Neodiprion lecontei: one gene and its partner. The protein of the gene in region 1 purifies or fractionates together with the protein of each later gene. This does not show direct contact. Links are inferred from orthologs where the notes say so. Each region holds a gene or a part of one and is shown in the gene's direction. Other genes may lie near its edges. The genes, in order: U6 snRNA-associated Sm-like protein LSm1 and protein PAT1 homolog 1.

Region 1 (6,182 bases):
GTACCGCATACTGTCAGAGGTCATTGCGGCAATTACGCTGCCTCATTACCTCCACGCATGAATAAGAAGCGGAGGCAGTCTCGAGTTGCGCAATTCTACATGCCTACGTAGCCACAAAAAGCTAAAAGTCACTGTATTTCATTTTGAAGGTCCTCTGCTTTGTCTACGCGACTACGGGCAGCCTCGAATGCAGCAGTCGCACTCAAGATGCAAAAATCGGTATGCAAGTCCGTGTTCTCTCCGGACAACAAAGTTGAAAATCGACCAACGTTTAGAGAAAAAAAGTCCATAAATAATATCGACCAAAAGTCTTACTCGTTCGAAGTAACCGGTGATAATTGGCTGCTGGATTTATTACAGTTTGAAGGAATTTATACCTATGTAATCATAAGTCATAATTACTTTAACTTGACGGACGTACTTAAGATCGGTACAATAAAAATATGCGTAAAACCAATCGTGCGTTTTTAAAATAACTTCAAACAGCGAGTTTAATAACTGTTGATGTTTATAAAACGACACAGTAAACTTTGGATAACTTTAATTTAGAAAAAAATTAACAGGAGTAAGATAGTAACTCACGAAAAATTTTTGGAGCTCTGCAGCGGTCAGGGTGATTACGACAAACAGAGTAAAAACGTCTCCCGCCATGTTGTGGAAAAGCTTGAATCGGCCGCGAGCGATTCGATTCAGAGCCGAGTATCCACTTGGACCGTAATACCGGCGAACGTACGGCCAGGCAATCTCGATGGTAACTACCAATTACATTGTCTATGGATCGTAGGATCATCCGCTGGAAGGCCTTTGCCTGGCTTGCCGAGATGCGCCGGGAGTGAAAGTAAGAGCGATATACATATACAACATATCGTAGGATGAAGGAGTCAACGCCGGGCACCACCTACTTTACTTTTGTCAGGATTTCACACTTGTCTCGCGCCTTCGGATCCGGGGACCAAAACGTTTTTATGCAACAGACGAAAGGGCGTTACAGCGGAGCAGTTTTACAATTAATCTTGAAATCAGCGCAGTTACGGCGCGCTTCCGAATCAAGTACAGCAGAAAAAAATTCTATAAGATATAGATTTATTTCACCTTTCCGGTACAACGCAAGGTCGGCATGCCCAAGTTTACGTCCCGTGACACTGGTACCTGTACATTCCAATGTGTCTATACCCGTGATTTTGTGATTCGTTATTTTCTATCATCCTATTGCACTATTACGATATCGAGAGAATTCTGTATTAGGACGGGAGTAACACTATATTTTCAAGGCATGATGGATCGGACACGGAAATACGAAACAAAATTTACGCATCGAGTTACGTAAAAGCTTACATGTGTACGTATGTTTATCCTTGACATTATAAAATACTTGAGCATGATTGGCAATCAGTAAAAGTCACTGTATCTGTAAGATTCCTTGAGTCATTCTAGCATTGTGTTTGTTTTGAGCTCTATAATGTAACAACGCAGGCCACTGCACGCAGGCAGATGTATATTTGCGTCATACGTTCGCAGATTACGCATTGTTTATAGAAAAGCAAAATATTTGGGAATAAAATCGCATATACAATTCAATCGCAGGCTACCGAAAAGGGAGGGATACGTCAATTTTTTTCCCAAATATATTGGGGCTGAGTTCGCGTAATTGCGATGTATTCTGCATTTTCTTATATACATTTTTGGTTCAATCACTCTGACGCATCGTTCCTCAAGGTCATGGCCAAGTAGTTAATTACTCCTGGAGCAATATTAAAAAAGAAATAATCGATACAAAATTGAAATGTCAAGAATGCCTAGCCTCTTGTCACTAAAGGACACTTGGTCGAATTACCATACAACTAAAACAATGTGTATATCTTCTCAAATCAAGTAGGTACCTTGATCCCAATCAAATTAATCACACTCGATATATTCTAAATGAAATCGGTCCTGGAAAAAGTGATATTTACAAATGTCTTTGAATAATTACTTGAACGCGAATTCTAAAGTTAGGATAGTACAGTAAATCCTCAATTATCCAAACCATGACTTGATTTATGCTTAATTATCCGGACGTTGACTAAAAAAATATATTTTTAGCGTGAAATATACAACGTTGGTCGCTAAAAAATGTGTAGCAGCCGTTCTTTAATTGACAATGGACGACTATGTAAAACCAAAGTAATAAAATAAGCGTTTGGTGTTTGAAAAAGGTTCTATACGTACTTAGATGTTTAATGCAGACTGCTTGACGATTGAAATCAATTATACGAACTAGGCTCATTGTCAGTCCTAATTAATTCGGATAATCGAGGTTCTACTGTGGCTGTCGAACAAAGTACTATTTTTAGGCATTTTTTGGCATTTTTTGGCGAGCCATTGGTACAGGTACCAAAACTTACCAAAGTATAGTTTACGTGACACACAATATCGTTCCGGTACACCTTGGTTCTTATACCAGTGGATCGGCAAAAAATGCCTTTTATTGCGGATTTGAAACTGATCAATGTTGCTATCGTTCTGCAATAATCCGTCCTCTTCCTACGTGGATGATGTCAATATTTTCCGACCTTCCTAAGGTATATATTAATCCGATAGATGTAATTTGTTACTTTTGGTTTTAATTTAATCGCTTCAGGGGGTTTCCCACTTTAGCTGCTCACAGCGTTCCACACGTCATACAGGGCGTGTTCGGAAATTGACTGAAAGTTCTGTCAGTACTGAAAACGGTTTAGTCCAAGTGACGTATACTGTAGATTTTCATTACTGACAGTACGGTCAGTCAATTACCGAACACGCCCACAGTTGGTGGAAATCGGAAATCATCGTTGAGCATTTTCGAATTTTTCGTAATTTGAAGATTGTCGAAGTTTGTCAGTAGAGACATCTCTGTTAGAGAGGAACAGACGGAAATGTCTGTCGCCCCAGTGAGTTCGTCATTGCCCTGAGTTTTGCCTAACGTTATGTACATACGGTACATACCTACGTGTGTGAAGGCCGGCGTTGTTACTTGTGGGGTACAACGCATCAGCGAATCGGTAGCTGAGTAACCAGTCTTTGATTTAATTAATATAAAATCTCTGAAAAATGAACGTAGTGCCCGGAACAGCGTCCCTCCTCGAAGAACTAGACAGTACGTTTGATGTAATTAGTTGGAAACCGTTAGTTCTAGCGATTTATCGAAATTTAGGTTATGTTTACACTTAACCATAAATGTAAATATTTTGATTAACAATTACACCAGTAACACCAGATAAATTAATCACGCCCGAACCGTTCGTTTAGAAAAGCTAATGGTTCTGTTAAGAGATGGTAGAACACTTATCGGATATCTCAGAAGTGTTGATCAATTTGCCAACCTGGTCCTTCATCGAACTATCGAAAGAATTCACGTCGGCAAAGAATATGGAGATATTCCTCGGGGCGTTTTCATCGTCCGAGGCGAGAATGTTGTTCTCTTGGGTGAAATAGTAAGCACTCAATTTTTTTATGCTCAGCAAATCAATATTTTTAGTCTTCCAGCTCTGTACGCTGGCGCAAAAGTCCTGCACTATAAACTTACTGAATTTCACCTCAGGATGGGGACAAGGAAAAGGATCTGCCACTATCTCAGGTGCCCGTAGATGATATATTAGATGCTCAAAGACGAGAGCAAGAATTGAAGCAAGATCAAGAACAACTGATGAGCAAAGCTCTGAAAGAACGAGGCCTCTCCTACATTCCGGATTTGGGGCATGATGACATGTTCTGACCCACATCTATTCCTACAACAAGTTCATTTTCGTCATCCTCGTCATCACATAAGTCTGACTGAATGTTCAGAGAGTTGTTCAATTCTGTGAAAGCAAAGGGAAATAGGTGAAAGAAAAACAACAGACAATTGTTATACATAAGGCGTGCGCTATAATATGAAAATATATTATTGATACACAGATCTGCCGGTACGAATGAATCTCGAAAAATCTGTTATTCTACCTCTTTTTTTTTATACAAATAGTTATAATGAACTGTCACGAATTTCGTTCTTGGCTCATTCAGAATGAAGAATATTTTTAAATATTTAAACCCACAACATTCATCATCGTCATTTACAACTAATATGATAAAAACTTAGCATATGATTGAAGTCTAGTACAAATATCACGTAGCAAACTATTTGCTATACATTATACAAAAATTTCGCACAGAATTCGTATTCGATATCAAACTAATACGATTTAATTGTTTATAGACAGCTCAAAATTACGTAAATAATAATAAAAACTGCTTAATAATTTAAACAAATGAAAAAAACACATTAGGTAAAACTGTAACAGTGTTCAACGCAATTTTTACTACACAATGAAGTGTCGTAAAAGTAGGTTTGAACATTAGATTCAATGTATATACTATAATTCCACTTTAAAAAGAAGTCTCTTGTAATGTTTCCTTCGCTTTTAGTGGTTTCAGTGTAGATTCACTCAATTGTTTGTTCCATAGAGTTTGAAATTTCAATTCATTTGTAACCTTTTTGTCAGTGACAGATTTTTTAGAATCGTCACGCTGGAGATTCGTTCCCCTTTTTCTTGGTGATTGGTTAATAACCTCATCAATTTTCTCTGGAGAGTTACTGACACTGTTGGTACTACCAGAAACTATGCCAGATGTATCGGAACTAGGTTGATTTCCATCTAAGCAATGCAGAAGACTATCGGATAGTCTATCTTCGTTAAGAATATTTAAATCTGACTCAGATTGGTCAAAATCGTCAGTACGAGACGTGAAACTTAAGTCAACAGGACTCGCAGTTAGTACGCTTCGTGATAATAGATATTCTCGAAATGTACTTGATATGGAAACGCTACTTGCCTCAATTATTTCGTTACAATATTCGTCTTCTATTGAGGTCACAAAATTTCTATCCTCATTTAAATTTCCGAAGTTTTCTTTGGTCTCTGTATTACCTTGATTGTCAGTTAGTACCAACTCACCACTCATACTGTCTATCTTTTGACACTCTTCCAAAATGGATGTACAACTTTTTTTCTGTGTAAGATCCAAGTTTGGTCTTTGAATGTTCGAACCAGAACTGCATGGTGTGCATCCGTTATTTAATGTTGCAAGATTGCATAAGTTTGACCCAGAGATCATCATCACTGGTTTTCTTGAGCGTGGAGTCATCATAGTTTCCTGTCAGAAGTTTCAATTAATTTCGATAAAATTTTCATGACTTCTTCATTTTTACGTTTTGAGATTACCTTTTTATATCGAGTAGTAGCGGACATGCGGTTTAACCAAATGCAAACAATGAGCACATAAATAGAAAATAGACACGTAAAAATGACGGGATGAAGAGTGAAAACAGAAAGTGCAGAATACATGCATACCTGCATAGCTTTACTCATCTTCGTCGTGCTTTGAGTAATTGGGCTCATGCTTTTGTCGTGGTATGCAATGGGCGTCAATGTGCATTCATTAGCTGTAGCAGCAGCAGTAGCAGCAGCTAGACTTTTTCGTAATAAATTCTTAGCTGGTGTCGATGTACGTGCCGTATATGTGTTGCAGAATCTACTCAATACTGTTGAAGCTGAATAGCTTGATGTTTCAGAGACTGAAGTTTCTGTCTTTTGTGGAGAAATTTCAGATTGTATATCAGGCATAGATTTCCTGGGAGGAAAAACCACTTCTATGTTGGGTCTTCTTCTTACAGGAAATATCGGGTCTGAATTTTGCCTCACGAATTCGCTATCACTCATATTAGAGGCAGCCTCTGTCGAATAACTCTCAGGTTCACTTAATTGGCGTGAAAATCGTAGATTTTTTGAGGTATTAATATCTCGCAAGTTGGAAGCTTTGCTTTGCAATTTTAATGGACAGCTATTCTTGTCTGATTCACGTTGACTGCAACTTTCCCTGACCGTTTCTGATGATTTATTTATTGGAGCGTTTTCAAATTTTTTGACGCTTTTCTCTGCGCTAATATTTATAAAATTCGCAAGCAGCATTTTCTTCTTTGACTTGCAATGCCCCAGATTAGACGTGTTCAAGCTCCCTGTGCTGCTGCTTATATGCTTTACATGCAGTAGATTATCTGCTTCCAATGGCTCGTAGATATCCGGGCTCAGTTCATCATCTGATTTACTGAAGAGCGTTTTTGGCGGAAGCAATGATTTCTCCAAGCTCTGCTCAATGCATGCAAATAAGAGGATTTTAGTATCGTC
Region 2 (7,192 bases), on another chromosome or scaffold:
CATAATGAAACTAAATAAATGAATATATAAGTAAATAAATAAATGAATAAATAAACAAATAATCATAACCGTTTAACCTCACAGTACAGGGGTAAAAGCGTAGAAAAGTTCTAAAAGAGCTCATATACGTACACGTATAATTCACGATATAAGACATATTTTCTAACTAATAAAAATCAACCTGCCCGCGACGCTGCAAAGCTATTAACCTCTAACTCACGCTCCACGTCGTAAATCACTGCACGCGAGACTGTAAAACTTGATTGATACTCATTGATTGAAGCAGCGGAAGACTCTAACGTAAACAAGAAAAAAAGAGTTGTAGAAAAACTTGAACGTATAAGTTTAAAATACTGCTTTAAAATTTCAAATATACGATCCCCACTCTGGACATATACTGCATGAGAGATAAACGAATTATTAAAAAAATTAATTTCAATTGCAAAGCACATACAACGTTGTTACTATCAACGGATTCTGGTCAATCGCAAACTAATAACTATGATATCTACGTAAATAATTATCTATGAACTAATTTAGATATACCATATTATTACTCGGCAAATTAGCGAGTTTTTCGGGGAACAAAACGACGGGCGTATTTCCTCTTGAATTAAGTATACATATAGGTATATAATATAATGCCGAAACGATATATTAAACTAATGAAATAATACCAAATACCCGTAAATGTTGACGATATAGTGATATTACGTATTTAATCGGTATACGAAACGAGGCAAATTAGATATAATTTATCGTTGAATATTATAGGTAGGAGGAGTCGAAATACTTATGACGAATAATTTTCGACCTAGGTAAAACTCTGTAACTTCCAAATTAGGGTTGGAATGAAAATAGCTTATTGGGTTCTTGGTAAAATTGAATTGATTACCATCGTTATGAGTTTGACAAAAAAAAGAACCACTTCCGGCATAAAGAGGACAAAATTACTTTGAAGTAACACCTTTCGCCAGTGTCCAGGCGCGGGACAAGAATTCCAAATTCTCTGATTATATTAAGCATCGTGCCAACATTATTCGCCTGATAATTAAACAATTTTTCTGAAAATCTCGAATAATTTTTCATTGAAAGACAAATTAACTTATCATAAATTAAAATTATTTTATAAAATTAATTATGTTTTAACGGATAGTTCGAAGAGAAAAGTCATATGCGGAGTCATACCTAAACTATCGTATGAATTCAAAACCAAAAAGAGAGAGGAAAAACAAACAACCGGTATACACAAATAAACAGCCTTTCCCAATTATGGCCGGACAATTGTTCTCGTAGAATCCTTTATTTCATCGCAGAAGTAAGAATTGACTCCTCGGTTGTGTTTCCGCATACTCTTCGTATCGTCAATGTTCTCACAATCAGATATTGTTCAGATTGTAAATTCTTCTTTTCTATGGTTTGCCAAAAACATTTTTTTGTACTTTTATACAAGAAGTTGATTTGAAATATCGGGAAGGCTGATTTGAAGCTCAGATTTCGGATTGTTCAATTATATGAATAAAACAAATAAGTATAAACTGTCTGTATCTATAAATATAGGTATGTGATTTATTATCACGGCAATGTATGCACAATCAGTCAAGAATACAATGAATCACACTCGCACGTATATAGTCTGTATGATGTATGTACAAGCACAATACCATGTTGACTAAAGAAAAGTTTAAATGAAATGTTGATAGTACTTTTAAAACAAAAGTATAAAAATTATATCACGTATAACATTCGCAACGTTACTCTAAGCACACCGTAATAAAATAAATTGACGAGTTTTATCGTTGTTCTTGTTTTAGACCGAACAAGTGTAGATAAATTATACCTCGATTAAGAGATAATAAAAGTGATTATTATAATGATGATAATAAAGGAGGATATCGTTTTGAAAAGTTAAAGCATATTTCTTACGAACCATCGCCAATGGTATTTGATATTTTTCATTTCCTGTATTGTGGCAATTCCGTTATCCTACAAATCGATGGTGACAATTTCAGGAAAAGCTAGGATGAAAAAAGATTTAAATCACTGACTTAAACGACGTTGATTCGGATATTTCAACTGTCATCACCGGGTAAAGCTCATATCATTACGGTCGGAGGCCGTAGTAACAGATGAGTTTTTCCCAAGTTTAGTCTTCGGCATTTTTCGGTGATAAACAAGTCAAGCAAACGTGAATTGAAACAAACACAGGTGAAAAGAATCCTGTACATTGGAAGAAAATTTCAAATTTTCAAAAATTTCGCTATAGTATATTTTTTCGTCTTCGTGGAACACTCTGCGAATTGACATAGCTAAACGTGAACCCGCCAGAACACTTGAATACTTTGGGATCCGTTCGGACTTGACTTCCGGTTTCATACCTATTACAGCGCTTATGCGTGGTGGAAATCGGAACTATCGGAGAGGGCAATAGATAGACGTAATATGTATAATTTTGAGGTAGCACTCGATATTCCTTCTTATTAGCGTACTTTGGGCCATGAACAAATGATTTGATTATCGTATTTCAAATTTCGTACCATTCTCTGATTAACGTGGCAAATAATCAATGGCATCTATGAAATGAGAGGTTGAAACACTGGTTGAAAACGCGGCTTCAGGGACAGTGAATTTGACCCATCGCGATGTGTTGCGTTCTCTGACGGGGAATACCGAAAGCCTGTCGGGAAGTCCGTGGTTAGTCGTGACCGCCATGACAGCTGATGTCTTTTCCAGCGCTTGACGTTTAGTCGGATCATGACATTTTGCGAATTTAATTTTGACAAATGGCAGACTCTTTTTTCGGATTTGACACATCTCTCGCTGTAAGTTGTATTTGGCTATATTATTTCTCGTTAAATTTGTTCGGAATTTTCCTTCGATTGGAAAGGTATCGCCGATGGGAAACCCTTGATTTTTTCGCGTTTCGACCGCGTCGCGGTACAGCATGGATCGAAAATTTGTTATTTTTATAGCATATCGCGCGGCTAATGCCTTTTATGATATTTCACGTCGACGTTTCACAATCTCTCATCCTTCTTACGCTCGCATGTACGGAAATTACGCTAAACATTAACCCTGCACCAGCCGAGATGCAAACAACGTTTTCACGGATGTGAACTCTGATACGGCCACGAATGTACTATACATAACCTAAGTCTTTCATTATCCCCGCCCCGGAAAGGTCAATAACATTGAATGTCGCTAACCGTGAAAATTTCATCAAATCTCGCAAGATTTTTCTGAGAATTTCAGCGGCTTCCAAGCTCAACCGTCAGCCATAACTCATAGGTTATGTTTCTATAATTTCGCACGTACAACAGTTTCAAAATTAATTTGTCAACTCAGTAAGGTGTCTCTGTTTGCACTTCAATGCTCTGATCTCTTTTTCTCATTCAATATTTATTTGTTGAAACCCAGAGTTCCAATTCGTCAAAATACCAAGTAATATGATCTCGGGTTATTTGCAAAATATAACATCCGATATTACTGGCACGTTCAATCTATTGCATGTGTTCTCTACTGGATTGATGAATGTTTGTCATTTGTTGTATGATTCCTCAAATTTAACAGGGTGATGGCCTAGAAGATGGATTTGATGGACCATTGGAAGATGAAGATATTATTGGTGAAGAAGATGAATATGATGCATTGAACGATGAAACATTCGGAGCGGAAGCAACAGGTGGAGATTGGGAGCAAGATCATGAGAAATTGGCCCGAATCACCGAGTCCTGTAGACAGCAGCCGCCCAGCTTACCTTTGCACCGGGTTTGTAACTGCTTGTCTTGGGCAAGATTCCGCAAAATTTAAGATTTTTTACAAGCAGTCTACTTTTCAAGTTTAATGATTGATTTTAATCTTGTATGATACACAGATTTGTTATTTTGCCCCGATTTGGAATACAAAAATTCAGATTGTTTTATTATATATTGCATTTACTGGATAGTTCAATTATTAAAATCAAGATTGATGCAATTTAAAGCACAATATTTTATTCTTTCATTTTTAGAATGGCATTGAAATAGATATCGAAGATAGCTTGTCACACTTGGTACTAGATGATAGAGATGGGACAACGCCACGACCAGGTGTTTGGGACAGCCCAACGAGCTTTCCTATGCCCAGAATTCAACAGCGTCCTTCGATTTCATCTACCCTTAAAAATGTCTGCACTGTTGAGGAATTGGAGCGAGGTCTCATCGCTAGTAGACCGCCTCCAGGTCTTGCTAAACCTCTACCTCCTCAACTGCATCTACAACAGCACCATCAACAACAACAACAACAGCAGCAGCAGCAGCAGCAACAGCAGCAGCACCATCATCAACAGCAACAGCAACAACAATTACACTATCAGCAACAGCAACAACAACAACAGCAGCAGCAGCAGCAACAACAACAACAACATTCATCAGGTGGACCATTCTTGTTCGATTCCGTACCATTGGGTGAACTTCAAATGAAAGGCCTACCACCTCCTCGTTTTCCCCCAGGATTAGGCCTTCCAGGTCCTCGTGTCATCTTACCTCCTCAAGTGAGACCACCACCACCTCAGTTTATGCAGCACCACAGACTGCTTCCTAGTGAGTAGAACCATCTATATATTTTCAAGCATTTTCATTATCATGTTGGTAAAAAAATTTTGTATGTGAAACTTGACTGCTCCAAATCGTGTCTCAATGTTTTTTTCAGATCAACAAGGTAATATGCTAAGGTACCCTATGCCTCCTCATTTGATGATGCCACCAGGAGCTCAAAGGCAGCCTCCACCACCTTCATTTCGTAATAATTATCCTGTAAGTTATTCATAACATGAAAGAATACAGGTTTGCTACAAATCTGTAAAACTTGGAAAAGTCAAAAAGTTTTGAGTTCAGTAAGGTTTTGTTCTTGATATTGAATCTGAAAATAATATATAAATATTGGAATATTATTCATGTCAAAATTTGTAGCGATCCTAAAGTAACGAAAAATTTCTCATAAAGATTAGTTCGTGAGTAGTTGAGAGGAGTGAAAGCAAAGAGAAGGAGTAATGTAACACCTGAAATTGAAGTGGTATTTGTTTTACTTTTAGCAACCACCTTATCCAGGACTCCCTCCACCTCAATTACTGCGTCCTGAACAAACGATGATGCCGCCATTTGCTAACAATCAAATGAACCATCATCAACAGCACTCTCCCCATTCAGGAAATCAGCGAACAGTTCAGAATAATCGACCGTTCCATTCCAATGACCAGCCATCTGGTCATCAACCACCTACTCACCAGCCATTTTTCAAAAACAATCAATACCCTCATCATAATCACAACCGAAATAATCAACGGTATCATCAACAGCACCACTATCAAGGTATGAATGGATCGAGTGGTCCAATGGGTGACTACGATGAGTACGCCGGCCTTATGAGTAATCGTGAGAAACAATGGCTGATCAACATCCAGCTGTTGCAACTGAACACCAACCAGCCATATGTCGAAGATTATTATTACACTGTATTTTGCGACAGGCAAAACAAACTAAACGAAAATCAGGAACACAAGGACAGAAGGCATCATAACAACAATGGCCACCATAGAGATTCCAGGTAGATATACTCGATATTTTTTCGACATGCAAACCAAACAAAGCTCATAAATTCGATAATAATATTTTATTCTCTAAATGTCAATAATTTGTATATCACAACAGGGATAGAGATCAGCAACAACATATACTGACAAAGGTAGTTTACACGCCCATGCAGTTTGAAAATTCGCTTGGTAAGCTTCAATGTGGTAGTGTGACTGCTCCTCGCAAGATAATTGACATGGACGTGGTTCCAAACAACGATCCTCAGCAAGCACCACATTCACAACAGAAAGACTCGAAAAAAACACGTCAACTTCTACTAGAGATCGAAAGAGTAAGTTTGAAATGTTTACAATTATTCAACATCATGTTTCAACTAGTTATTCTCTTTGTTCTTTTTTTTCCAGTTGTACACGTTGCAGTTAAAGCTCGAAGATCTGACTAATCCTTTAGCTCTATTAGCAGCAGCTGAACAGCAACACCAACAACAGCAGGAAGGAGAAGGAGAAAAGAAACCAATCAAAGAGTCCAAAGTTGAACTGATTGGCAAACTAATAACTTCGTTTCTGCAAATATTGCGAAATGATAAATTAGCCGCTTTGCTCAGCATTCGCAAAGGAAAGGTCAGTATTTACATGAAGGGTCTAGTTTAACACTGTAGAGTAACAAACGTCATACATCGATTGACAAAATGGTCCTTTATGTGATCGGAAAATCAATTGCAGATGTTGTTACTTCGACTGCTGCCACACATGAGCGTAACTGAATACAGCTCTCAGCTAGGCGATCTGTGGACTGGATTGGTTCGCGGATTGGTAGTTATAGGACGCAGGGATTCTCATTTACTGACAAACTTTTATCCTGAATTTCGAAGGTGGTTACATACCATAACTGATTTCGGCTCTGTTTTACGCCTAGCGAAGGCATTGGTTGAGTCAGCATCTCTACCACTAAAAAACAACAGCCTAGCATTTGCTTTAACAAACAAGGTTTGTACCATTTTTGACTCGCAATTTCTCGTCTGATCGTTACATATTTACAGTGGTTTTAACTTAATTTGGTTTATTGTCACTGCAGTTTGGAGTATCGGTTATAGCCTCGGTGTTAGAACAAGCTGAAACATTATCTCCAGTTGAGGATACGATGGCTGGCGATTGGTCAACTTTTGTTATGACACTAGTAGAGACGATCGGAGTCACGCCTCCCAGCGTTGCACCATGTGAACCGATTGCGGCTAATACTCTTAATCAACATTTAAACAGGATTCAATCATTGAAAATTGAAAGGTATGCACCATTGGAACTACTGTTGACCGATGCAAACCCTTCACGATAGTCTCAATTTTAAAATATGTAATTTGAGAATTTTTTTTCTCGTTCTTATTCTTTTTTTTCGCGACTTTCCGTACTACTTTCTAAAACTAAAATGGGAAATGTTGAAGGGTCAGTGTTTTTGTTACCTCTGAGTGATCTTAGCGAATACATAGGTAATACTGGATATCATAAACCGGTGTGAAGTACAGTGAAATGCATTTTACGCCTAGTTTGAGATAGTGTTGAAAAAAAATATTCTCTTTTCTAAAAGATATTGAAACACAGACAGTTGTGTATAGCTGTTGATAGAAT

What was found.
Region 2: the proteins of U6 snRNA-associated Sm-like protein LSm1 (region 1) and protein PAT1 homolog 1 purify together in Homo sapiens (co-immunoprecipitation; 3 studies listed by BioGRID and IntAct, with this or other methods). This does not show direct contact. The link is inferred for Neodiprion lecontei from reciprocal best matches to the Homo sapiens genes LSM1 and PATL1.

The regions. Positions count from the first base shown.
Region 1 is NC_060265.1:26,284,424-26,290,605, forward strand, and holds U6 snRNA-associated Sm-like protein LSm1, read left to right. Parts: upstream 1-2,672; 5' UTR 2,673-3,069; coding exon 3,070-3,115; intron 3,116-3,267; coding exon 3,268-3,452; intron 3,453-3,559; coding exon 3,560-3,733; 3' UTR 3,734-3,916; downstream 3,917-6,182. Other genes in the region: uncharacterized protein LOC107218892, read right to left, coding at 583-651; uncharacterized protein LOC107219128, read right to left, coding at 4,384-5,151, 5,349-6,143. UniProt on the Homo sapiens protein: Plays a role in the degradation of histone mRNAs, the only eukaryotic mRNAs that are not polyadenylated. Probably also part of an LSm subunits-containing complex involved in the general process of mRNA degradation.
Region 2 is NC_060263.1:35,074,742-35,081,933, forward strand, and holds the start of protein PAT1 homolog 1, read left to right. Parts: upstream 1-2,668; 5' UTR 2,669-2,783; coding exon 2,784-2,822; intron 2,823-3,570; coding exon 3,571-3,768; intron 3,769-4,009; coding exon 4,010-4,580; intron 4,581-4,689; coding exon 4,690-4,793; intron 4,794-5,071; coding exon 5,072-5,583; intron 5,584-5,687; coding exon 5,688-5,901; exon of another isoform or gene 5,902-5,902; intron 5,903-5,974; coding exon 5,975-6,190; intron 6,191-6,292; coding exon 6,293-6,556; intron 6,557-6,644; coding exon 6,645-6,902; 3' UTR 6,903-7,192. UniProt on the Homo sapiens protein: RNA-binding protein involved in deadenylation-dependent decapping of mRNAs, leading to the degradation of mRNAs. Acts as a scaffold protein that connects deadenylation and decapping machinery.